Oryzias latipes: one gene and its partners. The protein of the gene in region 2 interacts with the protein of the main gene of each other region in a biochemical or structural test. Links are inferred from orthologs where the notes say so. Each region holds a gene or a part of one and is shown on either strand. Other genes may lie near its edges. The genes, in order: snta1, dmd and dtna.

Evidence for each region.
Region 1: the proteins of dmd (region 2) and snta1 form a complex in vitro, tested with the Homo sapiens proteins (2 studies listed by BioGRID, with this or other methods). The link is inferred for Oryzias latipes from reciprocal best matches to the Homo sapiens genes DMD and SNTA1.
Region 3: the proteins of dmd (region 2) and dtna form a complex in vitro, tested with the Homo sapiens proteins (3 studies listed by BioGRID and IntAct, with this or other methods). The link is inferred for Oryzias latipes from reciprocal best matches to the Homo sapiens genes DMD and DTNA.

Annotation. Positions count from the first base shown.
Region 1 is NC_019863.2:11,943,464-11,947,115, forward strand, and holds part of snta1 (alpha-1-syntrophin), read right to left. Parts: intron 1,074-3,652; coding exon 878-1,073; intron 618-877; coding exon 428-617; intron 1-427. UniProt on the Homo sapiens protein: Adapter protein that binds to and probably organizes the subcellular localization of a variety of membrane proteins. May link various receptors to the actin cytoskeleton and the extracellular matrix via the dystrophin glycoprotein complex.
Region 2 is NC_019860.2:186,843-190,494, forward strand, and holds part of dmd (dystrophin), read left to right. Parts: intron 1-40; coding exon 41-202; intron 203-462; coding exon 463-564; intron 565-646; coding exon 647-820; intron 821-895; coding exon 896-1,051; intron 1,052-1,113; coding exon 1,114-1,284; intron 1,285-1,355; coding exon 1,356-1,535; intron 1,536-2,215; coding exon 2,216-2,338; intron 2,339-2,411; coding exon 2,412-2,582; intron 2,583-2,655; coding exon 2,656-2,778; intron 2,779-2,849; coding exon 2,850-2,984; intron 2,985-3,274; coding exon 3,275-3,427; intron 3,428-3,652. UniProt on the Homo sapiens protein: Anchors the extracellular matrix to the cytoskeleton via F-actin. Ligand for dystroglycan.
Region 3 is NC_019875.2:27,156,250-27,159,901, reverse strand, and holds part of dtna (dystrobrevin alpha), read right to left. Parts: intron 3,485-3,652; coding exon 3,400-3,484; intron 3,144-3,399; coding exon 3,049-3,143; intron 1,644-3,048; coding exon 1,530-1,643; intron 1,371-1,529; coding exon 1,274-1,370; intron 1-1,273. UniProt on the Homo sapiens protein: May be involved in the formation and stability of synapses as well as being involved in the clustering of nicotinic acetylcholine receptors.

The DNA of each region.
Region 1 (3,652 bases), on a different chromosome or scaffold from region 2:
CAGCGCGATAATCACGAACAGTTCATGTTCTCAGTGGATTTACGTATTCTCTGTGCGTGGTTTATTCGTACTTTTTCCGTGGTTTTAACGTGGTTCATTAGTGATACATCGGTGAAAATCTCATGTAAAGACTACAACTTTTCTCCCTTTTTCCATGTATTTTCACATATGACCAATTTTCATCCATGCAACATGCACAAATGTACATAGTGGCTGTGGGAAACGGCCTTTATATTTAAAAAACAAATGGAAGTGGCCAGAAGTCTGCTGAAAAACAATAAGACCATTCACGGCTAAAAAGTCAAAACAGAATTTTTCTACTTTATTTGTCTTTTTTTTTTTACTACTGCTTCAAAATGAATGAATCAAAAGGGGAATCCTGATTTATCTCGTTAACATGTGACCTCCACACAAACACATTTCCTACCTGTTCTGTCATCCAGCCCACATGCTTGATTTGTACACCAGGCTGCATGATCTTTAATTCCTCCTTCACTTGCGGTAACAGACTGCCAGCAGCAGCCTGGATGGCGTTGTACCACGACTGAGCCATGGCTGGGTCTTTAGCCCGCAGGAACACAGAGTTCTTTCTGTTGAATGAAGTCACCTCAAAGTATCTGACAAATGAGATGAAAGCAAGAGAGGGAAAGAGGAACAGAGGAGATGGGGAAGTGGGGCAGTTGGAGAAACCAAAGACAAAATGATGTATAACTTGAGGGGGAAGAAATGTTCAGTAACATAAACGTGACTAAAACCAAAACATCTTGAAGCACAGAGTCTCGGATTACTTGGAATTGACGTCCGCATTGATTTTCTTGCTCAGAAATGTTTGACTGAATCAGAAGTGACAAAGCAGGAAGTGTTTGACATGTAGCACCTGTCTTCTGTGTCCGGGGGGCACTGTTTCCGTGACACCTGGCACATCTTCAGAGGTACGCTGCGAGGCTCCTTCCCCTCAGCAGGAGAGAGCTCGGGGTCCCTCTGAGGAGTGGAGGGAGGAGAATCCCAGGGGAGAGACGCTCCGGGGGATCCAGAGCTTTTAAAAAAAGCAGACATTTCCTTGATGTACTTCACTGCAGAAGAGGAGAGAGGGGAGTTTGGTTAAAAATGGCTGATGAGGCAAAAGACAGACAGAGCTGATTATAATTTGATTTAAATGGGGTCCCACTGAGAGGATGAGTCTTTGTCTAATAGTTTCTTATAGTTAATTGAGAATCCTAAAGACAACTGCTGTTGGAAGCTTTCCTGATTCCAGCTCTTCCTTTAAGATGCAGGAGTGAGGATGTCCTGGGCCCCAGCTGGAGGCACAGATGAGGATATAATTCTGGGATAGGTGCCCAAGCACAGCTGGACTATATGATCCACACTTTTAGACATTCTTCCTTCGTGAAGCAACCTTTTTTAGAAATAGGGGAAACTGAATGAATCGGCAACACAAACAAAAATTGTCATTAACTCATGAAGGCCGTGTCCCACACCCACTAGGTACATTTTGCGTATGTTGCACAGAAGAAAATTGGTAATACGTGAATATACGTGGAAAAAGAGAGAAACGTTGAGGTTCTTTACATGAATTTTTCACAGATGTATCACAAATGAATCCCGTTAAAACCCGTTAAGACCCGTTGGCCGAAAGCCTCGACAGACATTTGCGCATATCGACCGATGGCAAACGCAAAAAACACTTGAGAATTATGTATTTCCTGCATGTATCACGAAAAACCAACATTTCATGTGTAATGCGGAAAATTTACGGTCACCCTGTGATTCGCGTTCAAGAAATTTGCAAAATGCGGATTTGGTTCATGGTGTTCACACTGGGAGGGGTTAATAGAGGGAGGGGCTTCTTCTTCCTTTTCTTTTGCTACTCTTTACTAGTGCATGTGCGTCAATTACACTTAGAAGAGGCTTGGTGCGAAATGTAAATGCGGTGCAAATCTCGTGAATCTTGCTCCAGGTTATTTCTTTCACAGCTCTATTCCGATAAATGAAAGTTCTGGCTGGGCACAAACGGTTGGCACAAATCTAAGTCTCAGTCTAAGTTGGACCTGGTTTATTGGCCGCACATGAGCCCGAAAATGCTCGTCAAAAGTCTTGCTCTCAATGTGTAAACGCAAGAGTTTTGAATGTGAAAGCCAGAAATGTGCATTTACAGAGACTTCTCAATGGAATTGGTGCTTAAGGGCGGTGTGAACATAGCTTCCGCATTCCAGAGCCTTTTTGAACATTTTGTGTGGCAGTGCTTCATATCTATATTTTAACCCTTGCTCTTTTTTTCTTTCACATATATATTTTTCGTTATATCATACAATCGTTCCACAATAAACCTGAAATTACACAGAAAACTTCAATTCTGAGTAGTAAGTTTGTCATTTTTTACCTGCAATAAACACAAAAAATGGACATTAAATTGGTTTTATGTTTTAGAACAAAAATCAAAAAAGTGTGGAGACAAAATAAAAATAGATGTTTGTTTTAAACTAAAAACGTCAAAGCTAAAGACTTTTTTGAAACCCTCAGGTCATATTTTGAATGAAAACTATACTTCGATAAAGAGCTGATGGTACTATGGGTTAATATCTTTTGTCACAGTTTAAAATGTTGCAAAAATAAAAAGGTAAATTGTTATGAAACTATCGGAAGAAACGCTGACACCAGGTTTACTAATTTCTCCTTTTAAAAATCACTGATTTTTATCATCAATTATATAACCCAAAGACTTTTCATGTATTATTGAGACATGATTCTGTGAAGAACAGTTTTTTTGAAATGACATTTGCCTCACACCCCTGCACATACGCCTACACACCACCACCACCACCACACACGACTTCTGCTGCGGTTCAGGAGGCTTTGGTATTGGTTTAGCAGGAGTAGCCTCTGCCAGAGTAAAAATAGCCCAAAGGACACAGTAAGGCAGGAGGCTGGAGGCAAAGCTCTGGTTTCACTGGGGAAGAGGCAATTGGCCTTCTTGCGCACCACAAAAGCAAAGTTGCTAGAGGGCGAGCAGAGGAGTCAAAGCACAAGACGGCATTAAGAAGGCTTGAATTATTCCCAAAATAGTCTCTTTTGTCAAAAACATCATGAACACAACTGGTTTGATGGATCATTTCACTGAATCTAAACACAAAAGGTGCACCAGTTATAGAGGTGAAGGTTATTTTGGTACCAACTCACCATCTAATCAATGTGACAGAGAAAGCACTGAAACTGGTTTTTATTCATGAGGCTTTTGGGTTTTTGTCTGCTCTGAAGTAGCTTTTTTTGTACAAGAAGATTCCGGGTTTCAAAAACAATGTTGACAAGAATGCTAAAAGACACCTGATGAAAGCCACTACAGCAAACCTGACCATGATCAGAAAGAGACATGTTGAAGCTGATGAATAAAGTCTGACAGATGCCGTCGCTGGCTGTCTCCAGCCTTTCCTTCAAGAGGATTCCACTGAAAACAAAATATGTCTTTAATCTAAGGAAAGACATTTCCTTTCAACTTTAAGCATAGATCATGAGTTTCGGAAAAAAGGGTTAAGCGAAAGCAACAGAAAAAGTATGAAGTAAATGATCAACATTTAGTATAATGGAGAATACTTGTACTGCAAATATGGTTTTATAAACGATCCCAAACCCAAAAACCTCCTCAGTTTTTAACATT
Region 2 (3,652 bases):
TTGTGGGTACCCTCTGACTCTCTGCTTGCATGTTCCCCAGGCGGGGCTTCGGAGGAGCCAGCTGCAGACCGGCCTCCAGCTGGCTCAGGAGAACGACCGGACCCTCCGGCACATCCAGGACTGTCTGGCCAACACGGACCGCCACCTGTCCTCGTACCTCGCCGACCACATAGACGCCCAGCAGATTCCTCAGGAGGCCCAGGTGAGTGAGGATGAAGACGCGTCCTCTTCATCACATGGACGGCTCTGGAGACGACAGAGAAAAAGGAGAAACCTTTGAAGTTGGAGGTGTGGGGAGAACCTGGAGGAGAACTCAGAGAGGTTTCAGGGACCCTGAAGAGTCCAGATCCACAACCATGATGGATGGAAGCTGTGTTTGTGGCTGTTGGTTATAAATGTGTGTTCGTGGAAGTGTGTGTTTTTCTTTATGTTGAACAGTGTGTGTTTGTGTGTCTGTGACAGAAAATCCAGTCCGAGCTGAGCGACCACGAGGCCACTCTGGAGGAGATGAGGAGGAGGAACCAGGACTCCCAGAGGATCATGGGAGATATCCAGCTGACCCAGGTGTGCACAGATGGGTCTAAAAACACCGACGTGCACACTGACACGTGCACGCTCTAACCACGTGGATGAACTGCTCCCACAGAACATGCTGGCAGACGTCTGGACCAAGTTCCGGTTCTTCCAGAAGCCGGCTAACTTTGACACCCGCTTGGCGGAATGCGAGCGGGTGCTGGCTGGGGTCAAGGGTCAGGTGGGGCTTCTGGGCATCCGTAGCGTGGAGCAGGACGTGGTGCAATCCCAGCTGGAGCAGTGCATGGTGGGAAACGGAGTCACCTGCCGGGCTCAGACGGTTCACAGAGCCGCCTGACGTCCGGTGCTTTCCGTCCAACAGAAACTGTACAAGGTGCTGAGCGAGGTGAAGACCGAGGTGGAGACGGTGATCAAGACCGGCCGGCAGATCGTCCAGAAGCAGCAGACGGAGCAGCCCAAAGAGCTGGACGACAGAGTGACGGCCCTCAAGCTGCTCTTCAACCAGCTGGGGGCTCAGGTCAGTGTCCGCACACGTCTCCAGGAGCGCTGAGTCCGCGGTTGACCGCGTCACACCTGCAGGTCACCGAGAGCAAACTGGAGCTGGAGAAGAGCCTCAAGCTGTCCAAGAAGCTGCGCAAGGAACTAACCGCGCTGACCGAGTGGCTGGCCGCCACCGACGCCGAGCTGACCAGGCGCTCCGCCGTGGACGGCATGCCCAGCGATCTGGAGGCAGAGGTGGCCTGGGCGCAGGTACGACTCCCGCAGGGGCGAGCAGCCGGGTCGGTGTCCGCGGAAACTCAGGTCTCTTTGTTTGCTGGCAGTCCGTACACGGGGAGACGGAGAGGCGGCAGCCCCAGCTGCAGGCCGTGGTGGAGCTGGCAGAGGCGCTGAAGGCGGTGCTGCACGACCACGCCGGCCTGGTGGACGACAAAGTCAGCCTGCTGCACTGCAACTGGATCGCGGTGACCTCCAGAGCCGAGGAGTGGCTGAACCTTCTGCTGGTGAGGCGCACGCTGGCGGTGTCGCACACTCACCAACACCGCTGAACGGGCCGGTTCTGGAACGGGCTTTAGCATACGGTGGACTGTCTGCACCCTAGTACCAGGGCAGAACCTGCAGTAGGAGGAGTCTTAGTGTGAAACGGCATAACGGTGTCAATCTGGTGAATCGTTCTGTTATAGCTCTGCTCTGATAAATGAAAGACTTGGTGTCAAAGACTTCCAAACCACAAATATGAATTTCTCCTCCATGATCAATATTCAAACGGTTGGTCATTCCAGGAAACGACACTACCACATCTGAGTCCTGATTGGTCAATAGACTACTGGTTCAACAATGTGTTTCATGTAGCCCAACACCAGAGTAACAAACCGTCAACACAAAGGTTTTGAACACGGAAGGCCGACACAAGAATATGCATGCTGGGACTCAGGTTCACACAGATTTCTGATTCGAGGTGGTCGCTCAAACACGTTTTTGTAGACGTTTCCATGGAGGAGGTCGCTCGGACACGAGTTTCCGTAGACTGTCAGAGCAGGTGGTCGGTTGGACGCGTGTTAACATAGACTTTCTTTTGGAAATGATAACTCAAATGTGCGTTTCTGAGGCCGGTGTGAACGTAGCATCAGTCTCTTTACGCTCTAAGGACAAAGAGTCCAGCCTTCTCGTCTTGTCCTCCCAGGATTACCAACGTCAGATGCAGAAACTGGACGGAGAGATCCAGGAAGTGAACGAGTGGATGGACGGAGCGGAGAGGAAGTTGGAGGACATTGAAAGTCAGGGACCCAACGATGGCGTCCTGAAGGTTTGGTTCCTGCTGAAACACCAAGGTTACCATGGTGACGGCACAGGCAGACAGGTGCACGTTATTGCTGCAGGTTCTGCGCGCAGAGCTGCTGCTGAACACTACCAGGGTGGAGGAGGTGGGGGCCCTGGCCCAGGAGCTCATGTCCACACGGGGAGACAACTGCCAGGCCCAGGTGGGGCCCAGGGTGGAGCAGCTGCAGCACAGGTTCACCGCTGTCTCCCAGCGGATCGCCGCGGCGCCGGTACGTCAGTGTGACCACGTGGGAGGTGGGGGTTTCCACGCCACTCCCATCTCACTCGTGTCTGTGCACGCAGACGGCAGCCTCGGCCCAGGAGCTGCAGCAGTTCCACCACGACGCCCAAGTGTGGCTGCAACTGCTGGGGGAGGAGGCCAACCAGGGCGAAAACCTGAAGGAGGAGGACTTCCAGGAAGACAAGGTCTCACACTCACGCAGCTTCAGGGGGAGGGGTCAAAGTGCACGGGCTAACAGACGTCTCTATGTGCACAGAACTGTGAGGAGGGGGCAGTCAAAGAGCTGCTGCTGAGAGGAGAGAACCTGCAGAGAAGAGCTCCAGATGCAGACAAACGAGAGCAAGTGCGACTGAAGCTCCACCTGCTGGACAGCAAGTACAACGCCGTCAAGGTGGAGTGACCAGCAGCTGATCTGAGGCCGCTTCAGGACCGCAGTAGCTTTATAGGATGAGTGCATAGAAGTCCATTATCAGACGTGAACGGCCTTTAGAGAGGCAGCGTTGTCATGGTAACGGCTTGTGAGCCTGCAGCTGGTGCATGAGGACTAACCGTGTCTGCAGTCACTCTATGCCTCCAGAACCGTGTTCCTTGTTCAGTGACGGAGCGTTTGCAGAACCCCACGTTCTCCAGATGTTCCTCTGTGGTCGTCCTCCCATCACCGCCGTGTCGTCTGCATTCCAGGACCTGCGCATCCTGAGGAACAAGAAGGCCCTGGCCATCGCCCCACAGTGGTACCAGTACAGGAGGACGTCACATGACCTGCTGGCTTGGTTGGAGGAGATCCAGCGCACAGTGGACCAGCTGCCTGACCCCCCCGAGGGGGGGCGCGTCAAGGTGAAACATTGAAGTCTTTCCTGCTTCGGTTTTGTTCTTCATGATGCTTTTATGTGCCATCCGTCTGGAACTGGTTGGTTCCTCTACTTTTCCTGTTTCACAGCATTTGATGAAAGCTGTTCTGGAGTTTCAGGAACCAAAGTTGTTGCTGGATTTGATCATCAAATATCATCTACAGCCTTTTTCAATATTCATCTACAGCCTAGTTTGACAAAGGAAATAAAA
Region 3 (3,652 bases), on a different chromosome or scaffold from region 2:
GGTCCCTGCTCCATTCTGATCCGTTTACATCTTTGTTTTCCTCGTTCGAGCTTACATTTGGCTCCAAACTGTATGACTGGATTGCTCGCCATTTTTGTTGCACCGCTAATGTTAGGTTGGGGTTGTGAGGGGCAGTAAGCTAGCAGGAGAGGGTGTAAACAGATGGGTGACTGGAAGTGGGGGCAGGCTTGCTCTGCGCCAGTAGTCCACTACTCTGAGCCCAATCCGAGGTCAGGAACTTTGGCTTAAAAAACGACACAGGTTTTTGAATTTTGGCTAAAAAACGTATAATCATAATTAAAGGACCACTGGGAACACTTTACAAATAGATCAAAAGATGGTCAGACTGTAACTTAAAAGCGAGCCTATAATGGAAAATTACCCACGAGTTTTCACTGACTTTGAAAAGGCTCAAGATGAGTACAAAAACAAAGATTATAAAGGTCCTTAGTCAAAAAATTTAGTGAAGACTGAACAAGATTTGCTTTTTTGGATGCTCTAAATAATCCTGTACATTCTTTAGGCTTTAGACTAGCAGGTTATATCTGATTTCTGTTGAACTACAACAAATGTGTGCGCTCATTTGTGGCCTGCAGTGTGCAACATACAGCCGTAGATTTCTACTTTTGTTTTCACTGTGCTTTGCGATTTTATTCACTTTTTATAAAAATTGCTGATAGTGTTTAGTTACACATCAGTGATCGTATCTGTTGAAAAAAATGAGACAACAAGGCTTAGAATTCAGCCTCTGAACTTTCTAGACATAGCAGCTGAATGGAAAATTGATGATGTAAGATATTTGGCTTTAACAGCAACAAACAACTGGAAAATAACCGGTATTTCATCATAACGAAATGGCTGCAGCATGCCACTGTTCTTTTTATTGTTCGTCAAACTAAATATGCAAATTGTGTCTAAAAAGACGTGTGCAGTCTGACGTGAAACTTGCATAATTACTGTAGCTGCCATGCTGCAAAGTGCAATGTTTGGTGTGTTGCAGCTGGAAAGATTGCCCACAGCTGGGTGAGACATGGAAAATTCATCATCTGGCCATATTGCTTGTCATCTGCATATAACGATCAAGAAACGCACAAACTACAGAGTCCATGCTCGCCGCTGCAAGCTTCAAACCCAGAAGTGACTGATAACAACGTAAAAATAAGAGGAGGCAAACATGGAGGTCCTCTTTAAGAAATCCCAAAAAGATGCAAACTGTGCCAAAGTGGAGCAGCGTGTTCTGCTCCCATATAGATGAAAGACACGTTTGCAGTACCTTGAGAAGCATCATTAGCTGCTCCAGCTGTACCATGAGTTCCCTGCGACTCTCCTGCAGAGTAGACATTCTTTGTTCAAGCTCATCTTTGCGTTGCCTAACGGAGGAAACAAGTGGTAATAAAAACATAACATCATGTAAGTGGCAACAGAGAAAAATAGCATCCCGAAGCCGCCCATCTGGATGATGTTTTTTTCAGCAGCCGCAGCAGAACTGTCCGTCATTCCTATACTCATTGAATCAAGGACAGAATTACCTGAGAAGTCGAAGCTCGGCGAGCAAGGTGGGGTTTTGCTGACCCTTATCGGGAGGCGGCTGGGATGCCTCCTCGTGCTGAATGCGCAGTCGCTGAATTTCCTGCAGGATTTCTCTGTAATCAGAATATTTCCACAAAAAAAAAGGCAATTTAACATTAGATGATTCAACACAACCATAAGAACCTTTTCAACCTGTTCCAACATCCAATAAAAACTAGTATTTTACTCTTTGATCAACACCAGCAGGCAGCAGAAACATCCCAGTGAACCAAATTCAATTACTGTGATGATACTACAAAAATCCCTACATTATCTATCAACTTTATTACATACTTATCAGCTGTTCATAAGCTTGGTCCCATTATTTATGGTCCAAATGGTTCAGCCATGAATATAGTGTTAGGCTGCCCAAAACACCAAATAAATAGGTGAGACAGCAGATAGATATTTATGTTTACAAAAAGCTTCCCTGGTAACATTTTATTTTTGTTTAAAATGTTTTGTCAAAGGTGAAATGAGCTGATTATTTTACTTTGATGTGTAACTACTTCATATTCCTATTTAAATTTAGTATTTAAAACGCTGTTACTTAATTTTAAAGACATTTACAGAGGCCTCCACCTTCTAAATTAAGTTATAAATAAATTCAAGAGCTAATGTTTATGACTGATTTTTATAAATATAGTAAAATTGACTAAATCCACTTCAGAAAATGTAATTATCGTTCTAAAATTGCAGAATAATGTTGGATTTTAAGCATAAACTGAGATAAACCAAAGCAACATGGATGTTAATGTCTTAGAATGAAATGAACTGAACATTATTTTTCTCACAGGGAGAAATTCACTCATCATGGCAGCTCAAAGGGAAAAAAAAACAACTGAAAGTAACGTTACAGCTCACTAGATATCGGATCAAACAAACAAATACGTAAATAGATACATAGATAATTGTGCATACTAATAATAATAATAATAATAATATTAATTGGGTCTTCATGCACCAGATTGTGACCAGGGCATCCAATTTCTTTTACTGCTGAAGTTAACTTGGAAACTTTCAATCTTACGTTATTTAAAGTGATAAATATAATTTCTTTCTTTCTAAATCTTCGTTTTTATTTGTCATGCATTCTTGATTCTGATCTCTTGTTCCAAATGAATGTGTAATAGATAAGGATAAAAATAAATATTTCAATTGGATCACTTCTGTAGAGACAGACATATAACAACCAGTCAAACACAATATATGGAACGGTAGGAATTGGGGCTTGATCGGTAAATTTTTGATCTTGATTGTTAGTAATGATCCACAGTCCTTGTGGTAAATGTCTGAAATGATGGAGATCGATTTCTGGTTGACAGATGATCAAAAATAGAAATATCAGTTTCAGGCTTTGACTTAAACAGTAATACAACAGTTTCCTCATGCTGACTGGCATATCTATAAGATTCCCTAAATGTAAATATGAACAGAAAGAACAGAGGCGTGCGTCTCAGAGAGGCGGTCATCCCTAACCTGTTCTTGCTCTCCAGCTCAGCGATGAGCTGCTTTTGCTGTTTGTTGGCATCCAGAGAGCAGGGCAGGTCCATGGGGACCCTCTGCTGTTGAGCCTGTTGGTGAAGTCGAGCGAGACACATCAGATGAACGGCTTTTTAATTTAAGGTGATGTCATCCACAAGCTTTTTTTTTCTTTTTTTTTCTCAAACAGCACACAGGAGGCACTAAAGCAGAGCTGCCATGCAGGTCTGCAGAAAACTGAACACCACTTTGACAGCTTAAGAGTTTGAACAGCAGCAAATGTTCCTTTTCTCATTAGATGCTCTGATACATGGAAGTAATAAATATCTTGTATGCTAGATATCTTACTGCAGCATCAGAAGCCAGTCTAGCAGCATAGCGGGCGATGAGACTGTGCTCCTCATCTTGATGGTTACTGCTGTCCATTAAACTGCTTAAAAGAAGAGAAAAGAAAAACACAAGAAGTAAAAAAAAACAACATTTAAGGCGGATAAAGAATAAAGAATTCTAATAAATAAAGAATTCTGATTCTGATTCTGATACGTTTGATCGTAGAGTCTCGTATTTCACAGAGAATGGCGCTAAACAATTTAAAACTAGA